Macaca fascicularis: one gene and its partners. The protein of the gene in region 3 binds, or shares a complex with, the protein of the main gene of each other region. Links are inferred from orthologs where the notes say so. Each region holds a gene or a part of one and is shown on either strand. Other genes may lie near its edges.

Region 1 (9,397 bases), on a different chromosome or scaffold from region 3:
AGATTCAGGTATTTATAACATCATTTCCTCACTGCTTTCAATTTCATTTTTACTCTTGGGTTCAGAGGCCAGCTAGCTCCTAAATTTTGAATAGATAATTTCTCTTCTAAATTAGGGAATGTATCAGTAAGAATCCCATGGATGGGACACAGGGTAATAGAAAAGAGTTTAATAAAGAAGCTATTTCCAAAGGTGTTGGCTGGTTTAAGGGAAACAAAGCAATAAATGATGCAGTACTCTGCCCCTAGGGGATATAGTAATAGATCTCTTTACCACTCCTGTACCTAAAAGGGAAAGTAGTGGGAGCTGTCTGTCATCAGAACTTGGAAAAAATACAGTTGTAGGAAAGGGCCACATAATAGGAGTGATGGCTTTGAATTGCATGAAGCAGTCAATCCCTGGCAAACCAACAAGAAGGGTACCAGGGGAATATATATTCTTACCTCACTCTGCTTCTGTCCTCTGATCTCCTGCCAGGCTGCCCATTGATCAAATCCAACCAGAAGCTAGAGGGGGGAGGGATTTGCAGTTGATGCAATAAAGATCAGCTTCCTGAGGCACAGAGTGTACTGCAGAAGGGTGATCTGAAGGGGCAGCCAGAAAATATTCATTACAGGTAGCTATCTAGTTTAATAATGTTAGCAACTTTTAAGTGAATTCATTAAGTGATATTTGGATACTGTTAGTAGGTACAGAAGAATGATTAAAATTATCGTAGGACTTTATATTACTTCTTGAGCTCCTCTAAACTACTTTATGTCTGAACTTATATCATTTTACTTTTTATAAAAATAGTTTCTGCATTTTAGGTATCAAATAGAAAACATTAAACTATTACTCTTTTGCTAATACCAAAGCATATGTTAACTTTTGTATATTATCACTACTAGGCTATTTTAAGTTATTTAAGTAAGTAACAATAAGGTTACTATAAGATAACCTAAATGCCTCCATTTGGAATATTAAAAAAGTCACTGAACGTGAAAACATCTTTTTCTTCTTAGCAAATAATGCTGAAATCATTGTTAATAAATATCTGTCTTTAACCCCTAGCCTGATTGGCACTTTAACCACATGCTCCTTTCTTAATCCTTTCTTAAGTTGAATTATTCTCAAGTGCAAGTTTTTCTCCCATTGTATTTGATTTGTTAAAGCCAGTTAGCTGGCATTTGGCAATACAACGTAGTGAAATGTCTTTGGTGCCAGACTGTCATGGTTGGATCCTGATTCTGCTACTTATGAACTATGCAATCTGTGACTAAGTTCCTCATTTTTCCTTTTATTTTTTTGTTTTGAGACAGAGTTGCGCTCTTGTTGCCTAGGTTGGAGTGCAATGGTGCAGTCTCGACTTACTGCGACCTCTGCCTCCTGGGTTCAAGCGATTCTCCTGCCTCAGCCTCCCAGTAGCTGGGATTACTGATGCATGCCACCACGCCCAGCTAATTTTTATATTTTTAGTAGAGATAGGCTTTAACCATGTTGGCCAGGCTGGTCTCGAACTCCTGACCTCAGATGATCCGCCCACCTCGGCCTCTGAAAGTGTTGGGAGTTTACAGGCGTGAGCCACCGCACCCAGCCTAGTTCTTCATTTTTAACAAGGGGGGAATCATGTTATCTACTTCATAGAATTGTTTGTGAGATTTACATGAATAAAGCACTTAGAACAGTGCCTGGCATGTAGCAAATACTAGGTAAATAATAGTGCCTTCTGAGCTATTTACAATACTGATAATTGTGCTTATCACACATTCATTATATCTTACTATCAATCCTTATTACAAATAGAAGGATGACTCTAATAATGCACTAATCATAAGGGTTTTGATACTGTTTTCATGTTTGCTAATTCAGTGGAAGCAGTGCACTTTTCTGAATGCTATTCTTCTCTTCAGCCTTGTATTTTTAGCCAAGTGGTATATTTCTGGCATATAATATTCTTTATAGTGTCAGACTGAGAAAACTCACTGTAGCTCAAAATAAAGAATGATACTGTCTAGCTGACACTAGACATTGAAATGTTAAAGATGCAAAATCTGTTTTTGTTGTAAACGTTTTTTATTAATATGTTCTACTTATATATTTGCAGAGTTGTTGCTTAGAATGGGAAAATGCTAAAGAGATAGTGGTTTGGAATAATTTTCCGAAAACATTTAGGGTTAATGCCTTCCTGGTGAATGCCATCCTAGGTCCTGGAAATTTTTGGCCTGAAGAACCACCAAGAAAACTAAGGATATCTTTGAGTGTTCCTGATATATTTTGTTCTGAAATAGGCAAACATCCTTTGATTCAATTGATTGAATCGTATGAAATGGCTGGTATTTGATTTTTTATTTTTAAATAATGACAAAAGGCAGTTTTATATGGTTCAATCTAAGAAAACCATTCTGAGCCTGGTGGATTAACCTGGTAACAAGTCTTGGCTGTGAAGCCTTGTGTAAGGTCTGAATGCTAAATGGGAGTGTCTCTTTTTTCTTTATTCTACCAGGTGTTGTGGAATACTTAAGCAATGGAGGAGTAGCTGACAACCATAAAGACTTCAAGGAACTAAGGTACAATGAGTGTCTTATGAACTTCAGCTGCAATGGAAAGAATGGAAGCTCAGAAGGGAGAATCACACATGGCTTCCAACTTAAGAGCGCCTATGAAAATAACTTGATGCCTTACACCAATTACACCTTTGATTTCAAAGTGAGTGGCAGCCTTTGGGCAGGTGTAGAAATTATTTCAGATACAAGCATGTAACAAAAAGGTGTAAATTCTTTATGATTAATTGTATAATCTTCAGGAATTTTTAGATTCTTAAAATGTCTAGGCTAAGTATGCACCTAGATATAAGTAGGTTCATTGGGTTTTGTGGCTATTGTCTTAAATTCTTCTTGCTCTCTCGTTTGTTTAGATTTTAAATAATATAATAACAAAAACTTTGAAATGCTCACTAGGTACGAGGCACTTGTCAAAGCACTTTGTATATATCAATATAGTTAACCCTCACCTGCTCAAACCATCCCTAACTTTCAGCAGTAACCTCCCTCCTGCCCCCGACAGAAAAGCACTGAATATAGCAAAACTCACTTTGAATGAATTTATGTAGTATTTTCTCAAGATTTTCTTTCTACCTTCCATTGATGTCTTAGTATCTTTAAATTTTCAGATTTCTTTTGGGAATGGGGTTAGAGAAGGTTGTACTTTGGTTCTATTTTATATCCATGTATTTGTACTAATATATTCCTAGGCAGTGGAACACTCTGAAAGAAAAAGACATTTTTTTGACAAATACACACAAAAAAATGGAAAGGCCGATTGTACAGGACCAGCTCTTCTTTAGAAAGACAGATTGTGGTGGCTTTATGTAATCTCTTTTCCAGTGCTAGTTTTCTGATCACTCTGTGTACCTGTGACTCTGCTATTGTACCTCTCTTTGACTTTCTGGCATTTCAGGCATCTATAGTAGAATCTTACACTATCTGGAAAAATCCAAGTGTTAGAAAGCAGTTTGGTATAAGAAGCCTAGCAGGAATTTAATAAAATGCCAAAGGAAATTTACAAATGGACTCCCTTACATCTCCAATAACCTTTTTCTGTTTTTGTGTGGGTTAGCTCCTTTCCAAGAAACAAATAGGAGGAGGAAGAAAAGGAATTCATGTGTTGTTACTAATCAGCTTTCATAATCATGAAGTGGAAAAAAAAGTGCTTAGAAATTGAATCTAATTTAGTATTTTTGCTATTAGAAAAGATAATTCAATCCAGCGATAGTTCATTTTGGCCCAGCCACTCATATGTAGTTATGTGCTGGTAAACATTTAATAATGAGCTTTTTGGGAAAAAGCTCTGATTTGTGGTGTTTGCCGATTTCTGTGGTTTAAGTACTTCTACTGTAGCAGAATCCAGTCTCCCAACACGATACCATTGAACACAGAGTTAGGAAGAGGTGCTAGAAAAGCTAGTACTAGCTGACTCTAGCACATCATTGCTTTTATGTAAGCTTAAAGGAACACCTTTTAATGGTACACAGTTTACCACAGCTTAAATCCTATCCTTGTAACTATAGTGATATATATCTGCCAGCGTAACCCAGAAAACCTGTGATAAAGTTCCTGAAAATAAGTGTTTAGTAATTCTGCAACTATCATTATTATTTAGGTATGTGTATAGGTAAAAAGAAAAATTTTTTTTTCTTTTTCACATAGACTTTTTTTTTTTTTTGAGATAGGGTCTCAGTTTGTCGCCCAGGCTGGAGTGCAGTGGCAGGATCTTTGCTCACTGCAGCCTCAAACTTCTGTGCTCAAGACATCCTCCTACCTCTGCCTCCCAGGTAGCTGGGACTACAGGTACACACCACCACGCCCGGCTAATTTTTTGTATTTTTAGTAGAGACAAGGTTTTGCAATGTTGCCCATGCTGGTCTCAAACTCTTGGGTTCAAGCCATCTGCCTACCTCAGCCTCCCAAAGTGCTGGGATTACAGGTATGAGCCACCGCACCCAGCCTAGACTTTTTTTGTTTTGAGACAGGATCTCGCTCTGTCACCTAGAGTGGCACAATCATGACTCACTGCAGCTTCACCCTCCTGGGCTTAGGCAATCCTCCCACCTCAGCCTCTTGAGTAGCTGGGACTACAGGTATGTGCCACCATGCCTGGCTAAGTTTTGTATTTTTGAGGGCTTTTTATTTTGGTAGAGACAGGGTTTCGCCATGTTGCCCAGGCTGGTCTTGGGGTAATTTTTGTAATTTGAGGGTTTTTTGGTTTTGGTAGAGACAGGGTTTCACCATGTTGCCCAGGCTGGTCTTGAACTCCTGGGCTCAAGCAATCTGTCCACCTCAGCTTCCCAAAGTACTGGGATTATAGGTGTGAGCCACTGTGCCCGGCCTAGACTTTTTAAAAGCTTATTTCTTCCTTGTCTGTAAATAAAAAAATCTGAGAAACACAATTTGGGACATTAATCTACCTTCCTTAGTCATCTGAATTGGTTTAAATTATTTATCGACAGTCCTTCAAAAGATCTTGTGTTAATAACTGAATAAAAAATCCTATTGAGCCATTTACGTTGTTCAAATAAGTACAGCTAAAGAACTAGAAATGTCTGGCTCAGAGAGTGTTTGATGTTTGGATGTATAAGAGAATCAGAGAGAAGGATAAAGGTGGGAGAGAGTAATATATGGGAAGATAAATAGGCTGGCTGGATAGATAGATGGGATGAGAGGATAGAATAGTATTTGAAGGAAAGATGGCTAGAGACTAAACTAAGGGCACACATGAGTAGAGAGAATTGAGCTCTTAGTCCAACAGAAAATGAACTTTTCAGTTTTATACATATATTTTGTAATGCTATCCCAATATTGAAATCTATCAGTAAAAGAAGATAGGTAACATCAAATGTAAAATACCTTGTGATCAGCATCGAATACAGATCCATTTGTATTAGTGAGGAGCCATTGTATCAGAGAGGTGTTAAATTTTGTTTCTTGGCTTAGTATTTGTTTACTTTCTTGGTCCTTGAACAAAATAGAAATGTAGAAAAGAGGTATTTAGAGCTCAGATTCATTTAATTGCAAACTGATTTGGAATGAACTGAAGAGTAAACAATTAGAAGAATTACTCCTTTTTCAACATTACTTTCAGACCAGGTAAGTTTAATAAACAGCTTAATTCAAACCTGCTGCTGATCCTCACCCCATGCTTATCCTCTAATCTGAGGGTGTGCCTGAATCATTTAATAAAAGGAAGGGCAGCTTTTATTTTATAGCAAATAGTAAACTTTTCTGTTACATTATGAAATTGGTATTGTAATTTTCTGGCATTCTTTTAAAAAACAAAGCTTAGCATAATGGTAACTCAGACTATTAATATTTTCGTTGTGTTTTGACTTTTTTCCAAATACAGTTCTATAGACTTATACAATAATAGTCCTTACTAATATAAAGAGTGCATTTTCCCACATTATTAGTATTATATCTTTTAAAAAAGAAACTGACTCAAAAGGGTTAAAAATCATTAGTCTGTAACCTCCTTTGTGCCTATGATCAAAGTTAGGGATCCTTCTCATAGGTGTATATGTACAAATACGTTGGGTGAATTCAGACATAACCTGGCTAAGGGTTTTGGTAAGAGTTTTTACTCCGGATATTTCAAACCAAGAGAATGATTACAAGTGATGCGTTCAATTAAAAACATCTTACTTCCTGGAGTGTTTAACATTTTTTTCTTGGGGCCTACCTTTGCAAAGAATTCTAGCAGTTGATGTGCATGATGGCACTCTAATAAGGTTGTAAGATATAGGAGGCTTTGTTGCCCAGGCTGGAGTGCAGTGGTGTATTCTCAGTTAACTGCAACCTCTGCCTCCCAGGTTCAAGCAATTCTTTTGCCTTGACCTCCCTAGGAGCTGGGACGACAGGTGCATGCCCCCAGACCCAGCTATTTTTTTTGTATTTTTAGTAGAGATGGGGTTTTACCATGTTGGGCAGGCTGGTAATGAACTCCTGGCCTCAAGTGAGCTGCCCGCCTCGGCCTCTGAAAGTGCTGGGATTACAGGAATCAGGCATGAGCCACTGTGCCTGGCCTTATAGGTTTTATTCCACATAAGTAATTGAGATTATTTCATGTGTTTTATTTTAGAATTGAAGCAAAAAGTTGTCTCATAAGGAGAAATAAAATTACCCTGATCCTTGTTAACTCATTTTCTGAAATATCACTGTAAAACTGTAAAACTAGGCATATAACCAAAATGAAGGGATAATACCTTATGATCCTATCATTTTTTGACCATTTAAACTTGGAGTCCCCTGGACTCATGTAAGTTCCTTAATTTGTGGTAAAGTAGGGTTGGATAAGGGCTTCTTTTCTTTTATTATTATTATTTTTTAAGAGACAGAGTCTTGTTGTCAGCCAGGTTGGAAAGCAGTGGGACAATTATAAGTAGCCTCAAACTCCTGGACTCAAGTGAGCCTCCTGCCTCAGCCTCCCAAGTAGCTGGGACTATAGGTGCATGCCGCCACACCTGGCTAATGTTTGAATTTTTCGTAAAAACCCAGGTCTCATTATGTTTAACCAGGCTGGTCTTGAAGTCCTGGGCTTAAGCCATCCTCTTGCCCCCGCCTCCCAAAGGGTTGGATTATAGGCATGAGACACTGCACCTGAATCTTCTCTCTTAGGAGAGGAGCAGTTTTGGTGTTTTGATATTGGTCAAATGAAAATCAACAAACTGAAATGATTGTGTCCAAAATCTCACAATATAAAAATTTGTTTTCATTAAAAGTTTTTGTGTTTTAAGTAGCCCGTTTCATTATAATACTTTTTAAAGTATTGGCTGGAACTCGTGTATAGTATTTGTAAATAGGTTTTTACAGGTGTAGAAATATTTCTCCCTCCTTGGGCTCAGGCTGTCCTGATACGAATAGGAACTAGATAGGAAGAAATTTGATTTTGCTCTCTTGCATACACAACCTGGGATAATAAAAGCCCCCTGGTTTTGAGACTTACTGATCAGACTAATCAAGTCATTTAGCTCTGAGAGATAAAACTGCTATGTATGGCTTCCTGCTGAATGATTTTTGCTGAGTTATCCTTATGCAGGAAGGAAATCCAGAATTTACACATATTCTAGTATTTGTGAAAATGAGTATTTTAAATTAAGAATAGGACAGTTAACTGTGTAGTGTTTTGTATGTATGTAGCAAATCTGGGAAAGCTAAACTAGGATTAGCAAATTCATAAACATGGTTTACTACAGCTTCAGCCAGGTGTGTTTGGATATCTCGATATGCAAATAATTGAAAATAATACCATTAACTATGTATGCGCTTATATAAATATTCTTATTTTCTACTTATTATAGCCAATAGGATTAGTACAGGTTCCATTATATTTATACTGATATGTTAGATTTCACTAAACCAAGCAGGCCAATTCTAAAGATAACTGGACATAATTTAATGTGTTTAGCTTCTCAAATTATCACTTACACACAAATGCAAGGATTTATAATTCCAGTAGCATGCTGTGTTTCCCTATTGAGCCACCTTTATTTCATGTAATACCCATTGAAGATTTGAGTCTTACTTGACCCACTATCAAGACAACAGGTACCAAAAGAAAAGATACTCAGTTTTTTGTTTTTTATAAGTTATGGATTGTTCTTTATATATCCTGAATTTTTCTTTTCTTCCTATCCCCAATCTCTTTCCAGGGCGTGATTGACTACATTTTCTATTCCAAGACTCATATGAACGTGCTTGGTGTCCTGGGGCCTTTAGATCCTCAATGGCTGGTTGAGAACAACATCACTGGGTGTCCACACCCTCACATCCCTTCAGACCACTTCTCACTGTTAACACAACTTGAACTCCACCCTCCACTCCTGCCTCTTGTCAATGGTGTTCACTTGCCTAATCGGAGGTAGTGGAGTACTGCCCCGCCAAGACGGGGATCTGTTGCTATGGACCTGTACAGTTGTAAATCAAAGTATGTAGGAGTGAAGTATGGCCATCCTTAAGCTGCTTCTTCAGGTTTCTTTCATTATGTGTTTGCTGTAAGACTTTGTACATTTTTGTGCATATTGGTATCATTTGGCAGTAGGGCTGGAACCAAAGTATTACTCTCTTTCCAAAATTTTAATTTAACATGTTTTTAAATTGGACCTCCTTCTTTATATTGTATTAAGAGCCAGCATTCAAAATTGATAAATTACCAATTTGAGGCCCAACAACAGTGTATTTGTTTTTCCAAAACAAATACTTTCTTTTGAGTGGTTTCAGTGAGCCAACCATTTTATAAAAGGCAATTTTTAAAAACTATAAATACAGTATTTTAAACTGAATGATGATATGCCTTCCAGGAAAAACCTTGAATTTTTCCTTTATAACTGATTTTTGGATTCCCAAGTCATTTGCACATTAACAGAGTACTTAAATTTGCTCGTTCTGTACATAAACTATGAGATAGCCTCTACACGTTGTAAGAGAATTTGAAAAATTAAAGATGGTTGTACAATATGCTTTCATAATCAAGCATGTAACACCACAGGACAATTTGTTGGCCAAATGCTAGTTTGGGGTTTTTTTGAGGAATCAATTTGGTTTTTTTGTCCTCTCTATATAACCTTGTTGGAAGTATTAATTCTAAGCCTGTCTCTCAAGTTTATTTATAGAGAAAGAGTAAGTAATCTGTATTGCCACATACCTTGAAAATAGAATGCGGTACATTTAGGATGCCCACAGAATGAATTTTTCCTTACTCCAATTCAACCTTCTTTCTGTTCGGTTGTGCCAGGAAAACAGATGTTATATGACCTATATCATTTTTGCCATTATAGTCAAACGTTAAAGAAAATCTGAATAAAAGGACCTTGATCAAAGTTTCAGATAGGGAAAATCATACAGATACTTTATGTGTTTCCAACATA
Region 2 (10,274 bases), on a different chromosome or scaffold from region 3:
CAAAAATACAGTAAAATAAATAAATATAGGCTGGGTGCAGTGGCTCACGCCTGTAATCCCAGCACTTTGGGAAGCCGAGGCGGGTGAATCACAAAGTCAGGAGTTTGAGGCCAGCCTGGCCAACATAGTGAAACTCCGTCTCTACTTAAAAATACAAAAGTCAGCCGGGTGTGGTGGTGTGCCTCTGTAATCCCAGCTACTTGGGAAACTGAAGCAGGAGAATTGCTTGAACCTGGGAGGCAGAGCTTGCACCAAGCAGAGATTGTGCCACTGCACTCCAGCCTGGGCGACAGAGCAAGACTCTATCTCAGAGATAAAAATAAAAAAATAAATATAAGTAAATAAATATAAAAGAAGTGCTCAAGCAGATCCTGAATTCCAGTCGAACAGCCGATGCCAACCAGTCTGAAGACCCCCCTAACCCTCATCCAAAGGAACCAAATCAGCATGAGAACACAGCTTCATCCTGCTCTCCTTGACAAACCAACAAGCTCCACTCTGTAGCCCACTCCAAAACCCTTGAAATTCCTAGCCCCAGACTCATCAGGGAGGCAGATGTGGTTTCTCCCTGTCTCCACATCCCGTGGGCCTAGCATTAAAACTGTTCCTGTGCTGCAGCCTGGGGTCTTGGCGCGCTGACTTGCTGTGTACGTCAGATGAGGACCCTATTCTGGTGACGCATCCATCTGTGCAACGCATTTACTGGTCAAATTAGAATTATTTTGGTTGTAAGCTACAGAAGCCAAACTCAAACTAACTTAAGCAAAAAAAAAAAAAAGTATTGTATACCTGAAATAGGTTCTGGTATAGGTCACAGGCTAAAGGAAAAAACCACTGAAATCAAACTGTCAGGCCCTTGCTGAGACTCCACATCTTCATCACTGTCTCATCTCTCCACATGGTGGGAAGATGGTGCTGGTTGCCACCAATTCATGCTGTCCTAGCTTCACATAACAATCCCAGATTGGTCCTGCTTTGGTACTGCCTGGCTGCAGCAGAAACAGGGCCCAGGCCAGGCCAGTGAGAGCCCGCCCTGGGTCTTTGGCCATTAGGAAAGAAGCACCTTCTCTAAGTGGAGAAGCTGGTAGAATCTAAGCCTGCAGGTGTTGGTGGCATCTTTCCCACCTGTGTGAGGCCAGCAGAGAGGAGAGTAGGGTGGAAGGTAGGAGGTGAGATTGATTCTTGATGCCACCTTACAATGCTTGAATGGGTCCGCATTCCCTCTTTCAATTCAATTCCCTCTTTCTTGCAAAGAAATACTGAGTTGTGAGTTTTATAACTTGCAACGGGAGGTCTGGCCTAACGTGAGCGGCACTTTGATCTGGATCTGAAAGGTGAGTAGGTGTTTTCCGGGGGTTCTCTTTAGATATGCAGAAAGAACAGGGCACGCACAGCAGAGCCACTATTGTACCCTCCTGGCGGTAGCAAGTCTCCCCAGAGGGCTCCAATAAGTCCACCCCACCCTGTATGTGTGCGCAGCTCCTCTACAGCTTATGTCCTCTCCTCTTGAATCTGGCTTGGGCTTGTGCCTGCTTTAATTAATAGAATATTGAGGAAGTGGCCTTCTTCAGAAGGCCTGGCGGCTTTGCTTTCCTCTTGGAGCCCCTGGTTGCCATGTAAGAAGTGCAGGATCACCTCCGGCTGGAGAGAGGGGCCACACACAAAGGCTGAAGGATGAGACACTGCAGAGGGAGGCCTCGTTAGGGGGCACCAAGGTGCCAGATATTCAACACCCAGCTGCCACCTTTGGCAGAGGCATGCGGCCCCAAGGGCGAGCATCAGAATCACGAGATACAGTAAAACTGTTGCTTTATGCTACCAAGATTTTGTGCAACGAGACCTCCCCACCTCCGTACGATCCTGCCAGTCACGAGGGGATTGCTACCTCTGGGTTTTGTTTGTTTTTTGAGACAGTCTCGCTCTGCCGCCCAGGCTGGAGTGCCATGGCGCAACCTTAGCTCACTGCAACCTCTGCCTCCTGGATTCAAGCAATTCTCACGCCTCAGCCTCCCAAGTAGCTGGGATTACAGGCGCCCGCCACCATACCCAGCTGATTTTTTTTGGGTATTTTTAGTAGAGATGGGGTTTTGCCACGTTGGCCAGGCTGGTCTCGAACTCCTGGCTTCAAGTGATCTGCCTGCCTCAGCCTCCCAAAGTGCTGGGATTACAGGCGCGAGTCCTTGCACCGGGCTGAGAGTAGCTGCCTCTGGCCATACAAATTACAAAAAGGCACCCAGGCTAGAGCACAGATGGCCAGGGCACTCACACAGGGAGGAGAGGCCTTGCAGGGTGTCTGTGCCACTGGCCTCTCAGCCTGGGATGCTCTGTACAACACAGGCTGCACGACTCCCTGCCTGGGGCGGAAGGAGGTTGTGCAGGGATGGCCACAGGCAGCCTGCTGGTCGGTCTGCATGTGTTCTTCCTGACTCCTGGGCTTTTGCACTGCCATCGTTGCCCAGTGTCCTATGGCCCTAGAGGCCTGGGCTGTCACTACTGATGCCATGGCAGTGCTAAGCAATGACCATCCCAAGGCCATGCTGGGGAGAGGGAGATCATCTTGATCTCTGAACAGCTTTTCCCTCATCCTTTCCTTGCCCTTCCAGCCAGGTCTCCTCCACCCCAGGCAACAGCAACCCATTTCCCACATCCCCAGCTCTCAACAGCCTTCAGTGACGCAGAAGCCTTGGTTTGCTGCTACGGTTGGTTCCTGGAACCTGTCTCACTCCCATTTCTTCAGGGTTGATTTTCCAGGAAGCAGTTAGCAGCCCATCCTACTTTGCCACATAGGTGGGCAGGCAGCTATTCCTTTTCCTTGACGCCATACCCTTCAGCATATACTTCGAATTTTTTTTTTTTGAGATAAGAGTTTCGCTCTTGTTGCCCAGGCCTGAGTGCCATGGTGTGATCTCGGCTCACCACAACCTTTGCCTCCCAGGTTCAAGCGACTCTCCTGCCTCAGCCTCCCCAGTAGCTGGGATTACAGGTGCCCGCCACCACACCTGGCTAATTTTTTGTATTTTCAGTAGGGAGGGGGTTTTGCCATGTTGGTCAGACTGTTTTCAAACTCCCGACCTCAGCTGATCTGCCCCCCTCGGCCTGTGCTGGGATTACAGGAGTGAACCACCGCGCCAGACCAATATACCTCCAGTAATTAAGTCTGTTGAGTGTTCTTCTTGCCCCTAGACTGTGAGCTTACTCAGGGCTGGGTGGGGTCTGATTCATCTCTGTGCCCTGACCATCAGTCAACTAATATTTCCTGATGTAAGCATCATGAATCAGCCCAATCATTTCTCTGCTCACCTTCAACCACCAGAGTCTGCCCCGAACACCTTTCGATCTTGGCGCACAGCAGCTGTTGTCCGTTACTCAGGCTAGGAGCCCAGCACCACACTGTCCATTAATGTACTGGAATGAATTACCATTCATGGACTGAAACGGTATGTTAACTTACTCTTTTTCTGCGTCATTGAGGAAGGAATAACATTCGCCTGCTCACGACTGATTGTCTTGTCTTTAGGCAGATCAAGATACTGGCTCCGGGCAAATACCTGTGTTTCGACGTGAATGACAGGCGAAGGCTTAAGGAAAAGGAAAAGGAGAAAAAAAGGGGAGGAGGATCAAGGAAGAGGGAAGAGAAGAGATAAAAGCGGACAACCCGGCCGGGCGCGGTGGCTCACGCCTGTAATCCCTGCATCTGGGAGGCCGAGGCGGGCGGATCACGAGGTCAGGAGATCGAGACCATCCTGGCTAACACGGTGAAACCCCGTCTCTACTAAAAATACAAAAAAAAATTAGCCGGGCGAGGTGGCAGCGCCTGTAGTCCCAGCTACTCGGGAGGCTGAGGCAGGAGAATGGCGTGAACCCGGGAGGCGGAGCTTGCAGTGAGCCGAGATCGCGCCCCTGCACTGCAGCCTGGGCAACAGAGCGAGACTCCGTCTCAAAAAAAAAAAAAAAAAAAAAAAAAAAAAAAAGGGGACCACCCGAGGCAGAAAAAGAAGTAGATGAAAAATGGAGGAGCGCTACAGAGAGGAGAAAACAGAAGTGCCAAGGCAGGAACGGAGCGGGGAGAGCGGGAACAGAAGGAGACCAAGGATGGACGGAAAGAGGACGGGGGAGGCCGGGAGCAGGGCCCGCAGCGCGCCGGGCCGGACCACCGTTCCTCAGCGCGGGGGTGAGGGGCGGGGCCTAGGCCGAGGCGGGCCGCAGCGACCCCCGCGCCGAAGGCCGGATGGTTGCGCCCAGCGACGGCGGCCAATGAGCGGCCGGGATGTTGGCGTGCCGGCGGCGGTCCGGGCGCTCGCTGGCTGAGGGACGGCGCCCGCCGCCATGATGCTTGTTTGCTTTCAATGAAAACGAGGGGGGCGCGGAGGAGGAGGCGTCGGCGTCGGTGTCGGCGGCGTCGGCGGCGCGGAGGCGAAGGCAGCGGCGGGCGCAGCGAGGCGGGCGAGGCCGGGGGCCGAGAGGGCGGGAGGGCGTAGTGGCGGCCCGCCGGGGCGGCTGAGGCGGGCGGCTGAAGCGGCGGCTCTCGGAGGGGGAACAAAGAGCAGCGACTGAGGCGGAGAGGAGCGGCGGCGGCGGCGGCGCTGCAGCAGCGGGCGGGACTGGTATGGTGGTTCCACAGGTCAGACCCCGCTGCGCTCACAGGGAGGAGGCGGCGGCAGCGGCGGAGGAAGGCGGCGCACCCCGAGAGGTGAGCGAGGCAGGCCCGAGGCCCGGCCGGGGCGCCGCTTCTCTCTGCGGCCGCGCACGGACCGCCCCGTCGGCCGGCCTCGGTCGCGGCAACTTGAGTTTCGTGGGCGGCGGGCTCGCCGCTCCCCGGCTGGCGGCTGTGGGGGGCCCTCGACGCGCCGCGATCCCGCCCCGCCCCGGGCCGCGCCCCCGAGCCGAGTCCCTGCCGGGGGGCGTTGATTGACGGCGGCGGGCGGAGGGGAGGGGAGGGGCCGGCGCCGGGCTCTGGGGTCCCGGCCGGTCCCGGCTGCCGTCGCCGGAGGAGCGAGTCCGTGGTCCCGGGACTCGGGGCCAAGACGGTGGCAACTTCGGAGGAGCGGCTCGGTGGGTGGTTCGCGTGTGGAACTTCGCACTCCGCGGCCGCAGTTACTGTCGAGCGGGAAACCCGCTGCTTACCCCCCCTAAAATGTTCTTAAAATGCAGTTTAACGCAGATTTTTGGGGGAGAGGACGGGGTGGATTACAGGTTAAAGAAGCACTTAGCATGCAGTGAAGAGATTTGTTTTATAGTATTGCTAAGGACTCGGAGATCGCGCTGGTTTCTAGAAGCAGTTTTCTCTGGGAACCCAAATTGCACCCCTCCTTTTTGTTTTTCAACACTAATCGTTATTTTCTTTGGAAACTTCCTTTGACTCTTTACCTCCTTCGCCTTCCGCGAGGAGCCTGCTAACCAACACCTGTAGCCTTCTGTTTTTAACTGTTACTGCCATTGACAACATCGTGAATGGTCATCTCGCTTGACCTTCTTGGATTTGTTGTTACTGTGTTAAGCTGATGTGTTTTAGATAATCTGCTTGAATTTGAGTTCCCATACTTACCTGTTTTCCAGGTGGATTGTCTCATTGTTAGTGCTGAATCTTCTTGCCTACTTGTATCTGGGAATTTAACTTTGAAGAGGAAGAGAGTGAATGTGAATAACTGAAAAAATAAAATAGTGTGTAGTAGCACTTTGTATTTTTTTACAATATACTAGACTTTCCCACTCCAGAACAGATTTGTAGGCTGTAGGAGTAGATGTGGGCCATTGATCAAAAGGGTGGCTTTTTTGGATAATTGCTGTTAAGACATTTATCACAGTCTTTAATTTATTTATTGTTTTTGAGACAGGATCTCACTCTGTCACCCAGGCTGGAGTGCAATGGCACAGTTCTTGGCTCACTGCAGCCTTTGCCTCCTGGGTTCAAGCGATCCTTCTGCCTCACCCTCCTGACTAGCTGGGACTACCGGCAGACACCACCACGGCTGATTTCTAAAGTTTTTGTAGAGTCTTGATTTGTTGCCCAGGCAGGTCTCCAACTCCAGAACTCAAGCGATCTTCCTTCCTTGGCCTCCCAAAGTGCTGCAATTACAGGCATGAGCCAACATGCCTGGCCATCACAGTCTTTAGAATGTTGTGACTTTTAGAGTAAAATTAGAATAAAAATGGCTTAATATCTTTAGATCTGTGATCTACTCCAGGTGTTTTGTTTTAAACAAAATATTTGAACAGCTGCTAATGAGAAAACAGACCTAGAAAGGTGGAGGTGACTTGCCCATGATACTGTAATTACGAGGGGAAGCACTGGGTTTGTGTGCATGTGAGAGCACACGAGTGTGTGACCTCATTGCTAGAGGTTTGTTCTTTTGGGAGGGTAGAGGGTATTTTAATGGTTAGAAGTTATTTCAGGTCACTTCTCAGTAGGTGAACGAGATGCTTAATGAAATGGTCAAAAAAGATTATGTAATTGCCAAGCATGATGGCTCACCATGTAATCCCAGCACTTTGGGAGGCTGAGGAAGGAGGATGGCTTGAGCCCAGGTGTTTGAGACCAGCAAGACCCTGTCTCAGAAAAATATGAAGTATTTAAAGCCTGTGATAACTGTCACAACGTAGTGAGACCCTGTCTTGATCAGTTTTTAAAAATGGTGACAAAAGACATAGATATTCTTGTGAGACTGACGATTTTCTCTGAAAGCCAATCATTAATTTCCATAGTGTCTTGATAGTGGTGATGCAGCCTAGGCAGCTCCTTTTGAATATGCCTGTTCAATTTGTAGGTATTTTCAGGTTTCTTAAATGTTGTTGGCAAAGTAAAACTACAATTATTGGGAAATTTCAAACTGTTTTCTTTTGAGCAGACATAAGGTTGGTTTATAGAATTTGGTCCTAACTACAAATGTGTAAAGGCATTGTAGGAATTTGCCCACTGTACCTGTAGTTTAAAAGTATGCATTTTATGCCAGGTGCGGTGACTCACACCTGTAATCCCAGCACTTTCGGAGGCCGAGATGGGTGTATCACCTGAGGTCAGGAGTTCGAGACCAGCCTGGCCAATACGGTGAAACCCTGTCTCTACTAAAAATACAAAATTAGCCAGGTGTGGTGGCGCATGCCTGTAATCCCAGCTATTCAGTAGGCTGAGGCAGGAGAATTGCTTGAACCCGGGAGGCAGAGATTGCCACTGCACTCCACCCTGGGTGACAAGAGTGAAACTCAGTCTCAAAAAAAAAAAAAAAATGCATTTTGGTTAATGCTTAGACATTCCAGTACCCATATTTGCCTTCTTATATTCTTTAAAGCATAAACCTTTTTCGTGGTGCAACAGAAAAGGATAATATATGTAAGACATACTGAAATAAATGTTAAGGCAGCTCACAGCTATATTCGTTGGGCCATTAGGGGTGAGGGATCAATATGTTCAGCACATTTAGAACCCATTCCCATATGTAAGTAAGGTCCACTGGTTTGGGAAGCTCTGCTTTAAAGCATTTATCACTTTGGAAAAGTCCTAATAGGCTCAGCTAAAAATGTATGTTTTACTGGGAAAACCAGAGTTGGATTTGTAGATATCTTTATACCCATTACTCAAGGTAGTCATTTTACAACAAAGTGTGATTAATAAAACACTATGTATCTGAAATTAAGAATGGCTGAGGCTGGGTGTGGTGGCTCATGCCTTTAATCCCAGCACTTTGGGGAGGCCAAGACAGGCGGATCACCTGAGGTTAGGAGTTCAAGACTAGCCTGACCAACATGGAGAAACCCTATCTCTACTAAAAATACAAAATTAGCTGGGCGTGGTGGCACATGCCTGTGATCCCAGCTACTCGGGAGGCTGAGGCAGGAGAATTGCTTGAACATGAGAGGCAGAGCCGAGAGCACACCATTGCACTCCAACCTGGGCAAAAAGAGTGAAACTCCGTCTCAAAAAAAAAAAAAAAATTGTGAATAAACTGTAAACATATACTGTATGCATAGCTGGGGTGCATTAGAGTATAATGGAATGTACTGTATTTTGGTACTTGAATAAGTAGCGAGGTTGGGGGTTATTTGATCCAAGATGGGGACTCATTTAGGCTGTCTTCACTTTACCCTTCTCTGGTCTTTATCTCTCCTTCGTCCATTTATATTTTCTTGGTAACTTAAGTTACACGTTAAGGTATGTACTGGTCACAGTGTTTGTTGTTGTTGTTGTTGTTGTTGAGACGGAGTCTCGCTCTGTCGCCCAGGCTGGAGTGCAGTGGCGCCACCTCCACTCACTGCAAACTCCGCCTCCCAGGTTCAAGCCATTCTCCTGCCTCAGCCTCCCGTATAGCTGGGACTACAGGCGCCCGCCACCGCAACCGGCTAATTTTTCTATTTGTTTAGTAGAGACGGGGTTTCACCGTGTTAGCCAGGATGGTCTCGATCTCCTGACCTTGTGATCCGCCCGTCTCGGCCTCCCAAAGTGCTGGGATTACAGGCGTGAGCCACCGCGCCCAGCCAGTCACAGTGTTTTAACACTGAGAATTCAAAGACAAATAATACTCTGATTTTGCCCTCTCATAGCGTATAGGCTTAATAGGTGCACAGAGTGCTGTGGGAGAACGCAATAGAGAATGATTAAACTTGCGGAGGGTGTGGGGGCAGTTTACGAAAAATAACACTGAATAGGATTTGCCAAACTGGGGAGAGGGAGTCGTGTTAAACAGAAGAAACTGTGGGTACACTGAGGTGTCAAGTGTTAGGGTAAGACTAGTGATAAGGTGTTATTGGAACAGTGGGCATGACTCGAGATGAGCCTGCAAAGGTGTGTCTGGTCTAGATTTTGAAGGACCATGCTTGCTAAGCTAAAAGTGAAGTTTCTACCTGTATCTTACAGCAGAAGAGAGAGCCAAAATATTTTTAGCAGGGGAGCAAGGTGATTTAGAGATCACTTTGGCATCCCTGTGGAGAATAGAGTGGAAGCCGTACAAGTATATATTTGAGGTATTATGGAGTTAGTGACTTTGGATCTATTTTTTCTTTTGGTTTTTCTTTCTTTTTTTTTTTTTTGAGATGAAGGCTCTCTCTGTCACCCAGGCTGGAGTGCAGTGGCATGATCTCGGCCCACTGCAACCTCCGCCTCCTGGGTTCAAGCCATTCTCTTGCCTCAGCCTCCCGAGTAGGTGGGATTACAGGCTCCTGCCACCATGCTGACTAATTTTTTTGTATTTTTAGTAAAGACAGGGTTTCACCATGTTGGCCAGGCTGGTTTCAAACTCCTGACCTCAAGTGATCTGCCCGCCTTGGCCTCCCAAAGTGCTAGGATTACAGGCGTGAGCCACCGTGCTCGGCTTGGATCTATTTTTAACTTGGATATGGTGTCTCCTGAGTCTGTGGTCCCTTAAGGGACTTTAGGGCTATGCCCAGTTGCTGTATAATACAGGGTCATTTAAAATCAAAATGTCAGTATGTTTTGGAAGAAGTTAAAAACAGTCAAAGCAATGAAAATCATAAAATAGTACTCATGAAAGTTCAGGTGTTGAGAACACTTGTCTTCTGAGTTAGGCTTAGGCAGGCTATAAACCTTAAGCTGGAAGATTCAACCCTATGCCCAGTTGAAATCAAAGCCACCAAGCTTAAAAAGTTATCAGTATCCTGATGGTTTGCTAGGATATGCATTGTAAACATTTTGTGAAATTTTGGGATGACAGTTTCCTCTTTAGTAAATTATTGGAATAGTGAGACTAACTTAAGGTCTAAGAAGTTCTCATACAACTGTTAATTTATACAGTCAGTTTGCTGTAAAGCAACATACAGGTTCCTAAAAAATCACTCCTTTGCATAATTGTACAGTAGAAATGACTGACAAATGGGGTTGTCAGTGACACATTTAAAAAAGGAAGCTTTATCAGTGACACATTTAAAAAAGGAACCTGGTAAAAATGATAGAACAGTTTTACACGTGTTGAATGGTTAAGAAATATATAGATACTGTAATAAATGTGGCATTTTGCCTTGAAAAGGCCTGGTTTGCTTGTGGAAAGGGATGTCAGAAAGGTTGCTGCTTGTGAGTTACTGTGAAGTGGTAGAAGAATTACCTATAATCAGATGGAAGGTTGTAACACCAGAAGCGAATAGGTGTGGCCCTTAACACGTAGTGAACTGACTTAGCTGGTAGGTGTTTGAAGTGTGTTTCAGGTATTTCTACACAGTTCAGTTCGACTGGGTGCAAACTGTCTCCTTTCATCTAGTGTTTACGTGACAAAATAGCACATAAATAAACAGGAGGTACGGCTTGTGCTCAAATTGTTCTCTAATTTGTG
Region 3 (10,533 bases):
ATAAACAATTTCTATCCAAACTCTACTAAAAAACAGCTAAATTACACGAGTTTCGCATGTGCAGGGAATAGAAAAAGAACTTTTAAAATACACAGAATTTTACTGTTGGAAGTGAGTTTGGCAATCAAGCACAGAGATTTTCAAACTATGATATGAAACACCTTAGTGTTTCACTAATTTGTGCTTCACAAATTCATTTAAGCATTGGATTACAATTTTTTTACACACATACATCCATTTTAGGATGAGTGATATACACACACAAGTGCACTGTATACCAAACTTAAACAGTTTAAAGACTATCTCATACTGGTCAAAGGATACAAATTTCAGTGAGACAGGGGGAATAACTTAAAGAGATGTATTGTACAACATGGTGACTATAGTTAAGAATAATGTATTGTCTTTTTGAAAATTGTGAAGGATGTTTTTGCACCTTCAAAAATGATAAGTATGTGAGGTAAATCATGTGTTAATTACCCTGATTTAGCAGCTCCACAATGTATATATATTTTAAAACATGATGTTGTACACCATAAATATACAAAATTTTAATATGTCAAAAAAAAAAAAAAAAGACTATCTCAGATGTCAGGTTAACCAGTTTGGCTGTATTAAATAAAGTTTGGCCTGACATACTTATAAATATACCTAGAATTTCTCATAAGCATAGATTAGAAAGATTATGGCTCCAATTTTTTGTCTAATTTCAGGCCAGACATGTTCACTCCCATAAAAACTACACCCCTAAAGCATTACTTTGTCCAGTAATCTGTTCAGCATATGACTACCTCAGAATAATGGTGCAATAGTATGTAAAATGTAGCATCAATGATATGTTATAACCTATTCTCATTATAACAAACTATTTGCTTTCAAGTTTTTAATGTTTCTCAATGAATGTTTATAATTTTTAAAAATGAGCAGCTGTTGTATATTGCCAGAAAGTCAAGCTTGAAACAAAAATTTCCTACTGCTGCTTGTCTTTCAAACTTCTGTATCAATTCGATTAAATATCTAGGATCTGCAAGATGATCAGATGCAAACAAAAATAAATCTTCCATCAACACCTATTTTATTTAATAAATCACGATTTTCTCTATAAAGTAGCGTTAAAATAAACGAGAAAGAAATTAGACTCTAAGTACAGTCTGAAGATGAAAATGGCCTTCATAATTCTCAACTTCTAATTTTCTTATTGACCAAAATAGCTTGTTTATAAACATAAATGTTAAGTTTTAAACTTATTTTAAATAATATATATAAAATTAAGATAATGAAAGTCCTCTCTGCAAGCTGTAAAACATTTTTAAAATATGAAGTAGCAAAGCCAAAAGTAGTCAGGTGCTTGGAATGGCACAGTAAACCTAATATTTTATTTTACTGACCTATGAAAGATTCTTACAAGCAGAAAACTAAATACAAAATTTACATGCAGGATAGGCATAATTTACAAAGTAGAAAATAATACAAAAGCACATTCTTGCCAGATATGACACAAAACCAAATGTTCCTCTCTCAAACACATTGTATTACATAATCAGTCATTACGTTTTGTCCAGATGCTAATACAAACTGGAGCTGTTACAACATCTGAATACACAAATGGAAAAATAGTATATCAATATGTTTGAAAAACAAGCAAGTCTACTCACTGTTACCTAAATTGCCAGGACACACAATTTTCTCTCACTCATTTATCATTAGTTTTTACTAAGTTTTTACTAAAACTTAGTAAAAACTTACTAAATGTGCATTTTCATCTACTCACATATAAGGAAAGACATTCCCATTCAGAAAAGGCAGAGAAAGGATTGGTGTCTTGAGTACTGGATCATATTCCCTTTTTAAAAATATATACTCTGTATCTTTAGCAGCTCTTAGTCACTAAAAGGTCTCTGGAACATATACAGGCAATTAAGACATAATATTCCTAAAATCATTATCAGTATTAGCATATCTACTAAAATGATATTCTGGGAGTCATCTATCCTGTTTTGATTTCGACATCTCTAAAATGGGCACAAAACTGGCTCACAAGCTCTTAAACAAACCTGTAAAGGCCAGATGTTTCTCAAAATCGCCGTTTCAGATTTGAGAAAGGTAAAATGTTGTATGTATCATATATGACATAACATCTGCCAATGGCAACACCTGCAGTCAAACACGTGAACATTTCCATATGAAAAAGTGGGAAAATCAGATTAAGAAAGATGATAATCAGATTCACAGGTATAATTCCAGTTGATATTTTCTCACCTTATTCAAAACAAAACTAAACAAATGATCAACTTTCAGAGCTTTTTAAATTTTGGACCTCCAATAAGACACATCTCACCTTATTTCCATAAGGGCAATTTTATTCAAACTAGAGAAATCCTGCTTTCTACTAACCAATGGGCCAGGCATTAAGAGGAAAAAGGTGAGAAAAACAGAATCTAACTTCAGAAGCCCCAAATATAATAGGAGCTCATGTGTAAGTACTGGTAAACATGTTACCTTGTAAAGACAAATACAAAATATCTCCTTCAAATAATGGCCATAACCACACATAATACAGCAAGAAATACAGACCTAAACATCCTGCCAGAAGCAAAACAGGGTATTAATCACTCTATTACTAACATCCTCCCCTAATTCCATACTAACTCAACACACAGTTCTCTAAGAAGCTAGTTATCTATTTTTCCATATGTAATTAAGAAGCAAAACTGTAAGACAGGATTCAAGAAAGTGAAGGAATACAGGATGCCATTCTTCCCACCACTTTTCCAATCTGTTGCTTCAGATCTGTGGATTGTGAAACAGTACTGACAAATGACAATCTAGCAACAGTTCAGTTTAATAGATACGTATCTATTATACGTACCTACTAAGTATTATGCACTATAGAGGCATTTGAAACATGAACATAAACAAATCAAAGCCCTACCTCTCAGGTGCTCCCAGTCCAGATGGACAGTAAATTACAATACAGTGTGACATTCTATAATAGAAGTTTGAAGACTAAAAAGCAATACAGCAGAAAGATTTGAGGAGTCAGGAAAGATTTATGAAGAAAGTGATACCAAAGAGGAGTATAGAAGAAGTTCATCAAACAACAGAGAAGTGAAAGATACATAAAATATGCACCACCACCCTCCCCCACACACATACATGCAATAACATACACATGAATAAAAGGAATAGGATGGGCGTGGTGGCTCACACCTGTAATCCCAGCACTTTGGGAGGCTGAGGCAGGCAGGTTGTCTGAGGTCAGGAGTTTGAGGCAAGCCTGACCAACATGGTAAAACCCTGTCTCTACTAAAAATACAAAATTAGCCGGGCGCATGCCTGTAATCCTAGCTACTCAGGAGGCTGAGGCAGGAGAATCACTTGAACCTGGGAGGTGGAGGTAGTAGGGAGCCAAGATCGCGCCATTGCACTCCAGCCTGGGCGAGGAGCAAAACTCCGTCTCAAAGAAGAAGAAAAAAAAAGAATAAGGAAAGGAAAATGTTCAGGGTTAAGTGGCAAATAGTCCAAAATATCTAACTATATATCTAAGTGGACTTAGATCCTGAGTCTAAGCATATACAAAGCACTCAAGTGCCCAGAAAACGAAAAATTTCCCATTTTTTTCTAAATAATTCACTTTTTTTGTATTTCCATATTATATATCATGAGCTCTTGACAAAAAGTAAACATCGTAAACTGTTTTATTACTTTACAATGCAGCACACCCCCAAGTGATATACCAACGGATACCAACAGATTTGCAACTGTATTTCAGAGAACGAGCTGTCAGAAAACACACTATGAATTCTATTTCCAGGACATTCCTAATAGTATAGACAAAGTAAATAAATGAACAAGCCACATCAGCATGATTAGTCATAACAGTTGAATTCTAAAATAGAAATCAAAGGATGTTAAACAGAAAAACTAAAGAAATAAAACCCTAACTTTCATTCCACTTCAAGGCAAACTTTCTTTTTTTTTTTTTTTTTTTGAGACGGAGTCTCGCTGTGTCGCCCAGGCTGGAGTGCAGTGGCCGGATCTCAGCTCACTGCAAGCTCTGCCTCCCGGGTTTTTACGCCATTCTCCTGCCTCAGCCTCCAGAGAAGCCGGGACTACAGGCGCCCGCCACCTCGCCCGGCTAGTTTTTTGTATTTTTTTAGTAGAGACGGGGTTTCACCGTGTTAGCCAGGATGGTCTCGAACTCCTGACCTCGTGATCCGCCCGTCTCGGCCTCCCAAAGTGCTGGGATTACAGGCTTGAGCCACCGCGCCCGGCCTCAAGGCAAACTTTCTACAACGACATCAACTTTAGCACAGCTCTTTTCAAAATATCTGGTATAAGTCACAGTGAAATTCAATCCCTTTAAGTATCACAGGTAGAAACCGCTCTTAGTAAGGAAGAACAGTCACCTGTATCATCAAGCAGAATAAGTTCTACCATAGCACTAGATCCCTTGATTAACACTGTATATAATTCCACTCAAACATTACAGTACACCTCATATTAACTCTGCCCCTAAACTGCCCTACCTGGTACCTTGGATCTTTTGCCTCTTTGTGTTACAAAATCCCCTACAGACCCAGGTAACAAATAACATCATAAATGTTTGGTTGTATATTTTCCTAAAATCTCAGGAAAATTTTAACAAATTTTAACAACAAAAAAACAGCTATTGTTTAACATTGCTTTTAAAGAGCAAAAAAATAAATTGTAAGCTAAGTGTTTTTCACTAGTCTATTAATGCTTACTCATTATTTCACATATACATGTGAAGCATACATTCTATTTACATTATCAGAAAATCTTATGAAGTCTGTCACTAGAAAACATAAAACTATAACTTATACAGGTTGTAAAAAATTCTGTAATGGTCTTTCAAAATATAGGTACTTTTAATACCAGTATCTACTAAAGGAATACAAATGAGAACTGGGTTAGAAGCACTTCTAATAAAATCTATTCATACACCTGAAAATTTTATTTACTTTTGAACAAATAATTTTCAGGTTATAATAACTGTAAAGCATCTCTGAAAAATCAAAAAGTGCAACACCCAAAGTTATAAAGGAAAAACAAAGGTAATTAGTCCTTGTAGGGAGGTATATGGGAAGTTGTATCATTCTGAATTTTTTTGTTTTTGTTTTTTGCCCAGCATCATAAGATAAGCCACATTCTGAGTTTTATCTTCAAGATCAGGTACTTGGGGATATAAATCACTCACACACAAGCATTTTGCCCTCCTTTTCCACCATATAAATTAAAGTATTATAGAAACTGAAAAATTGTATAGGCTGTATGTGTTGCTTGGTTAAACAAACAGGCAATTCTCATTCCCTGAGATCAGATTAGGTTACAGATATCTCTACATTGTATACTTAAAAAAAGATTCCTGCCAACAAATGTTTACATTAACTTATTTGTATTGATGAAGTACTAATTCAGATACAAAAAAAAAAACTTTAGCAGAGTTTCTCACTTCCTCTCTAAAATACAAAGTATTCACAAAAGTTATTACAATTCAAGCTCTCAGAAAATATGAGAGAAAGATACCTTTTCTACAATAAGGATCTTACAAAGTCAAGAAATAAGTGAGTAGAGTGGAACATGTTTTGTCTTTAAGTGTATTTTGTATTTCTTTTTCTTTAGATTTAACATTATAAAAGAACTACAAACTAAACAAATTCAACATACAGAGCTTACTAATTATCTTGGTCCATTATAAAACATTTCAATGAACTGGGCTCTGAATATAGACACTTAACCATTTCAGCCCACTATGATTCTTAACCCTTTCAATTCGCAATCTTACAAAATTATAAGAGACATATTCATTGACGTTTGGAAAGAACTGTTGTCAATTATGCCAAGCATTCCCAAACTCAACATAAACCTTGTATGTAAATGGATACTTTAAAATTTCTATCTCATCCCTCACCCCATACTTTATTCTTTCCACTTATCTTGCTTCAAAAGGGAAATCAAGAGTCACACTTATGATTCCGAGCTCTAAAAATTCCTAATATCAAGCATGAAGTATGTTCAACTTTGGAACCTTAAATTTAAGTTGGCTTCCCTCGTGAACTGACTTTGAGTACTTTTTACCATTTCGCCAAGAATCTAAGGGTTCAAATCAGTGTACTTAATTACGAAGAACTGCCCAAACGATTTTAAAAGGAGTGGGATTCTCTGACCAAGAGTTTTATGAAAATGAAACAAAATATGTTGCACTCAGTCTTCCGGATGTTGAAAAGTGAAGATGTCTCCAAGGATTCGAAGGAAGTTGTTTAGGTTCCTTCTGAGAGGGTGGTACCCTTATGTAAGACTTTTGTGGTGGTAATACCGTACCTACAGGCCTGGAATAAATATAAAGTCTAAAACCTTGGAAATACTTTGTATAAAAGAAAACTACAATTCACTTTTGCTAAGGACCACAGTCACCAAGAGTCATCAGCTTTCTCCCGGACAGACAACAGTGCCTCAATTAAGAACTACAAAGGCCTCTTTTAACCCTACTCTTTTCTTCTGTGAAACTTTTAAGTGAGACCTACAACAGCAAAAGGTGGAGAGGCCCCTGCGGAAGTAGAAAACCAGGGCTTGTAACTTCACAGACAGAAGCATCTGTGGTTCCTCCGCCGCCCCAGGACCATCCGGACTCAGTCTACGACACTACGGAAGCTTCACCTTCCTGGTGCGGTGGCAGAGGCAGCATCGCAGTTGCATTCCTTCTCCCTCCACCATGCACAGCCTTCGGTATCCCAGGGCCTGCAGGCTCCTGACACCCGTTAGCCAGTCCAGTGTCTCCCATCTGACACTTACACACACACTAACAGAAATACACATAACTGGCAGATGATATACGTGTATTGAGAATGTAAGGAGCCAGAGACAGCACCAGCTGCTGGGAAGGCGGCAGAGCCGTCTAAAGCGGGCTCGAGCTCCTCAGCCACGGCCGCAGCCGCCTTCTCTTCTCCCCCAGGAAGCAGCGCGGCGGTAGCGGCTCCTCCGCGCTGGCGGGAGCCTAGGGGAGTGGAGTCTGGGGAAGCCCCGCCACTCGCGGATGGGACCGGGCCTAGGATGTGGAGCTGCTGCTGCAGCGGCCCGAGTACAGCGACGCTTTACGTCCCGTCCACCACCACCCCCATACACACCCCCTCCCTCCCTCCACCGCCGCCACCCCCCCTCCCCGCCCGCTCCGCTCTCCCTCTCTCGATTGGAGCCGAGACAAAAGCAACGGGAAGCGGCGGGCCGGGACGCTACCGGCGGACCCCGGGCGCGGCCGGACCGGCCCCGGGGCATTCCCCCGCCTTGCGGGGGCCCCGAATCCGCCGCCCCCGCCGCGCGCCCCGCTGCCAGACTTCCGAAAATTTGCCAAAAACTCACCGCATGAATTTTCTTGTCCCGCGGATCCAAGATGGCGACGTATCCACCGCGGAGGCTGCTGGGAGCAAGACCTTTACCCTCTGACCGCCGCCGTGACCCCCGTCGCTCCGGCTTCCCTCCGGGTGGCGGCGGAAGGTGGGAGCGGCGACTGCAAAGCAGCAGCGATGGGGTGGGTAGGCTGCTTCCAGCGCGCTTCTAACAAGGTGGAGAGAGGCGCTTCACTCCCCTACCGCCCTTACCGCTGCTCCGTCTTGTCTCCCATCGACTCACAGGGAGGCTTGCTGCTCCTCCGCGGCCGTTACAGAGAGCGGGGCTTCTGCGGCCGCTACCGTTTTCCTGGGGCCAGGTTGCTTCGCAGAGGGCTCTGGCCCTAAGTCCGAGGGGGACCGCAGGGTCCAGGGGCGATGAATGGTGAGGTGGCTTCAGTCCGCCCTCCCCGGGGATGCTGAGCGTGTTCGTGTTTGTGTTTGTGTTGGACACCCCGCCCCCGCACGTCCGCCTCCTCACTCCTCCCCTCCTCATTCCCGCCACCTGGGCGAATTTAACCGTGTCCCCGTTTCCTCCCTTAGCTCCCGCAACCTCCGGAGCTTGTGCGCGTACTTCAGGGACCGGCACCACGTCACCGTCACCTTCTGAGTAGTGAGTTCCCCTCTGATGAAACCACTGGTGTATTTACTCACCATCCTCACCTTTTTTTTTTTTTCCCCCCCCAACCTGGTGGAAGGAAGTACATAATGGAGAGCAAGTTTTTAAAGCACGGTCGTGTCGTGTGAACTTGCTCTAGCCAAATTAGGTTTATAGCACTTTTTCTGACTCTCATTCCCCCCAGTCTCCACATAAACAAGAGTGACCAGCTGGGTCATCCGCAAGACCATTTGAAATTATTGTGGCTTGGGTGGAAACTTAAAGGAGTGAAGTATCTGCTTTCCAGAAAAATCGTTGTCGTTCAAAGTGAAATTAAACTTTTCTTTGCAATAATACCCCTTTATTTCTTTGTATGTCTGTAAACTCTTCACTTTTTTTGTAATTACTAGACATTTCGTTCTTAAGAGCCTCTGCATGTGTGTTTTGGAATTGTGTAGCTTCATAATGTGAAAAATTGTCCTTTTCTATTTGAGTAATTAATTTGAAGTAAATAAAATTTCTACTTCACTTGGTTGTTTCTTTTAAAAATTCACCTTTTCTTACAAAAGAATCACTGTAATCTAATTTAAATTTGTCATTGAAGGTCAAAAATAAGAAATAGCAAGAAACACAACATACTATAAAATAAAAGGTAACTGTCATGTTTTTGAAGGTAAGGTGTTTTGACATAGCAGACATTGTGTGAATTTATTTCAACTCCTAGTGGTACTGGTGTAGACAGAAAATGTTTTACTTGGTTATTCATTTCATCAAACATTCTACTTCATTTTTTTTTTTTTCCACTTCAGGAAAATTCGAGGAGGAACAACACATTGGTGTCTTTCCTTCTTTTCTCCCCGTCTTCTCCAAATAGTCCCTTCCTCTTTCTGCTTTCTCCTCCTCTCATGTTAACATCTTCAACCATAAGATGGTGTGTTAAAAGATTGGTTATACCTCTATAGAATGACTTCCAGAGGGTGTAAGTCTGATTTGAGAGTTTTATTACCTTGAGTATTTTACTGGAGGAGATAGAACAACAAACATTTTTATAATAAACGTGTGGGTTAGGAGTGTTAGGAGAAAATACACTGATACTTACTTTGACTCACTGAACACTATTTGTTTAGGATGAATTCACTTTAAGCCATGTTGAAGAACAAGCCTTTAATTGTCCTATTATTTGTGCCAAATCTATTATAAATTTGTTAAAATTGTTTTAATACCTACCTTAGAGGGTACTCTAGGTATTTAATCACCTAGCATTTGTTAAAGGCTTGTGTAGTAAGAATTCTTACTATAAGAGTTACTATTCTTACTATAAGAATAGATGCTACATTTTTTGAATTATCCTGTTGCATCAAAAAGTTCATCTTCATTGGTAATGTTAATCAAGTTTGCCCATTTGGTAGTTTGGTTTTCTTTTGACTATCTTAATAGATTGTCTTTCTTTTACCTGAAAAGTAGTCCATACTAATAGGCACATGTTTTGTGTATTTCCAAAATATGTGTTATGTTAAATTCTCTGTACACTTCATTTAAAAATTACAGACTTTGAGGAAAAAAAATACCCTATTAAGGGAAGAATGAGTTTGTGTATAACTTGTAGAAGAAGACGGCTACCCATTTTTAGAAAACTATGGATGGTATTGAAAATTTTGCCATGGCAAGGGATAAAAAGCACAGGCTTCTCTAATGTGTCTAAAACAACATTTGAATCCCCTTTGTTCATTCCCTAAATCTCCTGCTCCTTTAGAATTCCTGATTTTCATAAATAGTACCACCATTCACTTATTTGCTCAAGCATAAAACTTGGAATTTTCTGTGATTCTTCACACTCATACAGCTCATCAGACAGTACCATCAATTCTGCCTGACAAATATATTCTGAATTTAGCTGCTTATCACCTCCACCGCTACAGCCCTTGGGAGCCACCATCATCTCTTGCTGGACCACGGCAATATCCATACTAGCTGCTTTCACTTTCTATCTGTACCCTCATGAAAATTTTCCCATTCAAACCATTCTCTATATACCAACCAAAGCAATCATTTTAAAAATGTTATTAGGTTATGTCACTCCCTTGTTTAAAACCCTCCAGTAGCTTCCTTATGCACACAGAATGAAATCGGAATTCCTTACCATAGCCTTCAAGACTGCATAATCTGGCTCCTGCCCACTTCGTTCTTACTGCCTCCTTTCTGTCGTGGGCTGAGCTCTTTGTAGTCTGTAGCAGAGCCTGTTGTCCCCCAAAATTCCATTTTTTTCATAGTAGTAGACATGGATACATGGCTACCCAGAACAAAGACTGTATTTTGCAGCCTTTCTTGTAGCCATGTAACGGTGCTGGCTGATGGGATATAAGCATTGTATCATGTGGCACACTTGTAAAACCATCCTTAAAAGATAGTTGGTGTACACCTTCAATGCGGCTTTTCCTTTATCCTGTACCATGGACTATAGAGATGTGATTTTGGAACTCTAGCTGCCAATTTGTGTCTCATGCAGGTTCTCTCATACTAGGGATGGCA

What was found.
Region 1: CNOT2 (region 3) and CNOT6L share a complex: the UniProt entries of both Homo sapiens proteins name them as parts of the CCR4-NOT complex. The link is inferred for Macaca fascicularis from reciprocal best matches to the Homo sapiens genes CNOT2 and CNOT6L.
Region 2: CNOT2 (region 3) and CNOT6 share a complex: the UniProt entries of both Homo sapiens proteins name them as parts of the CCR4-NOT complex. The link is inferred for Macaca fascicularis from reciprocal best matches to the Homo sapiens genes CNOT2 and CNOT6.

What each region holds. Positions count from the first base shown.
Region 1 is NC_088379.1:56,141,237-56,150,633, forward strand, and holds the end of CNOT6L (CCR4-NOT transcription complex subunit 6-like), read left to right. Parts: coding exon 1-8; intron 9-2,485; coding exon 2,486-2,688; intron 2,689-4,210; coding exon 4,211-4,489; 3' UTR 4,490-4,671; downstream 4,672-9,397. UniProt on the Homo sapiens protein: Has 3'-5' poly(A) exoribonuclease activity for synthetic poly(A) RNA substrate.
Region 2 is NC_088380.1:187,397,931-187,408,204, forward strand, and holds the start of CNOT6 (CCR4-NOT transcription complex subunit 6), read left to right. Parts: upstream 1-5,097; intron 5,098-5,367; coding exon of another isoform or gene 5,368-5,446; intron 5,447-5,556; 5' UTR 5,557-5,661; intron 5,662-10,274. Other genes in the region: uncharacterized protein, read right to left, coding at 3,938-5,097, 5,368-5,446. UniProt on the Homo sapiens protein: Poly(A) nuclease with 3'-5' RNase activity.
Region 3 is NC_088385.1:76,973,309-76,983,841, reverse strand, and holds the start of CNOT2 (CCR4-NOT transcription complex subunit 2), read right to left. Parts: upstream 7,074-10,533; 5' UTR 6,991-7,073; coding exon of another isoform or gene 6,869-6,990; 5' UTR 6,751-6,868; coding exon of another isoform or gene 6,539-6,750; intron 2,962-6,538; coding exon of another isoform or gene 2,906-2,961; intron 1-2,905. Other genes in the region: uncharacterized protein, read left to right, coding at 2,906-2,961, 6,539-6,750, 6,869-6,990, 7,074-7,583, 7,950-8,019. UniProt on the Homo sapiens protein: Component of the CCR4-NOT complex which is one of the major cellular mRNA deadenylases and is linked to various cellular processes including bulk mRNA degradation, miRNA-mediated repression, translational repression during translational initiation and general transcription regulation.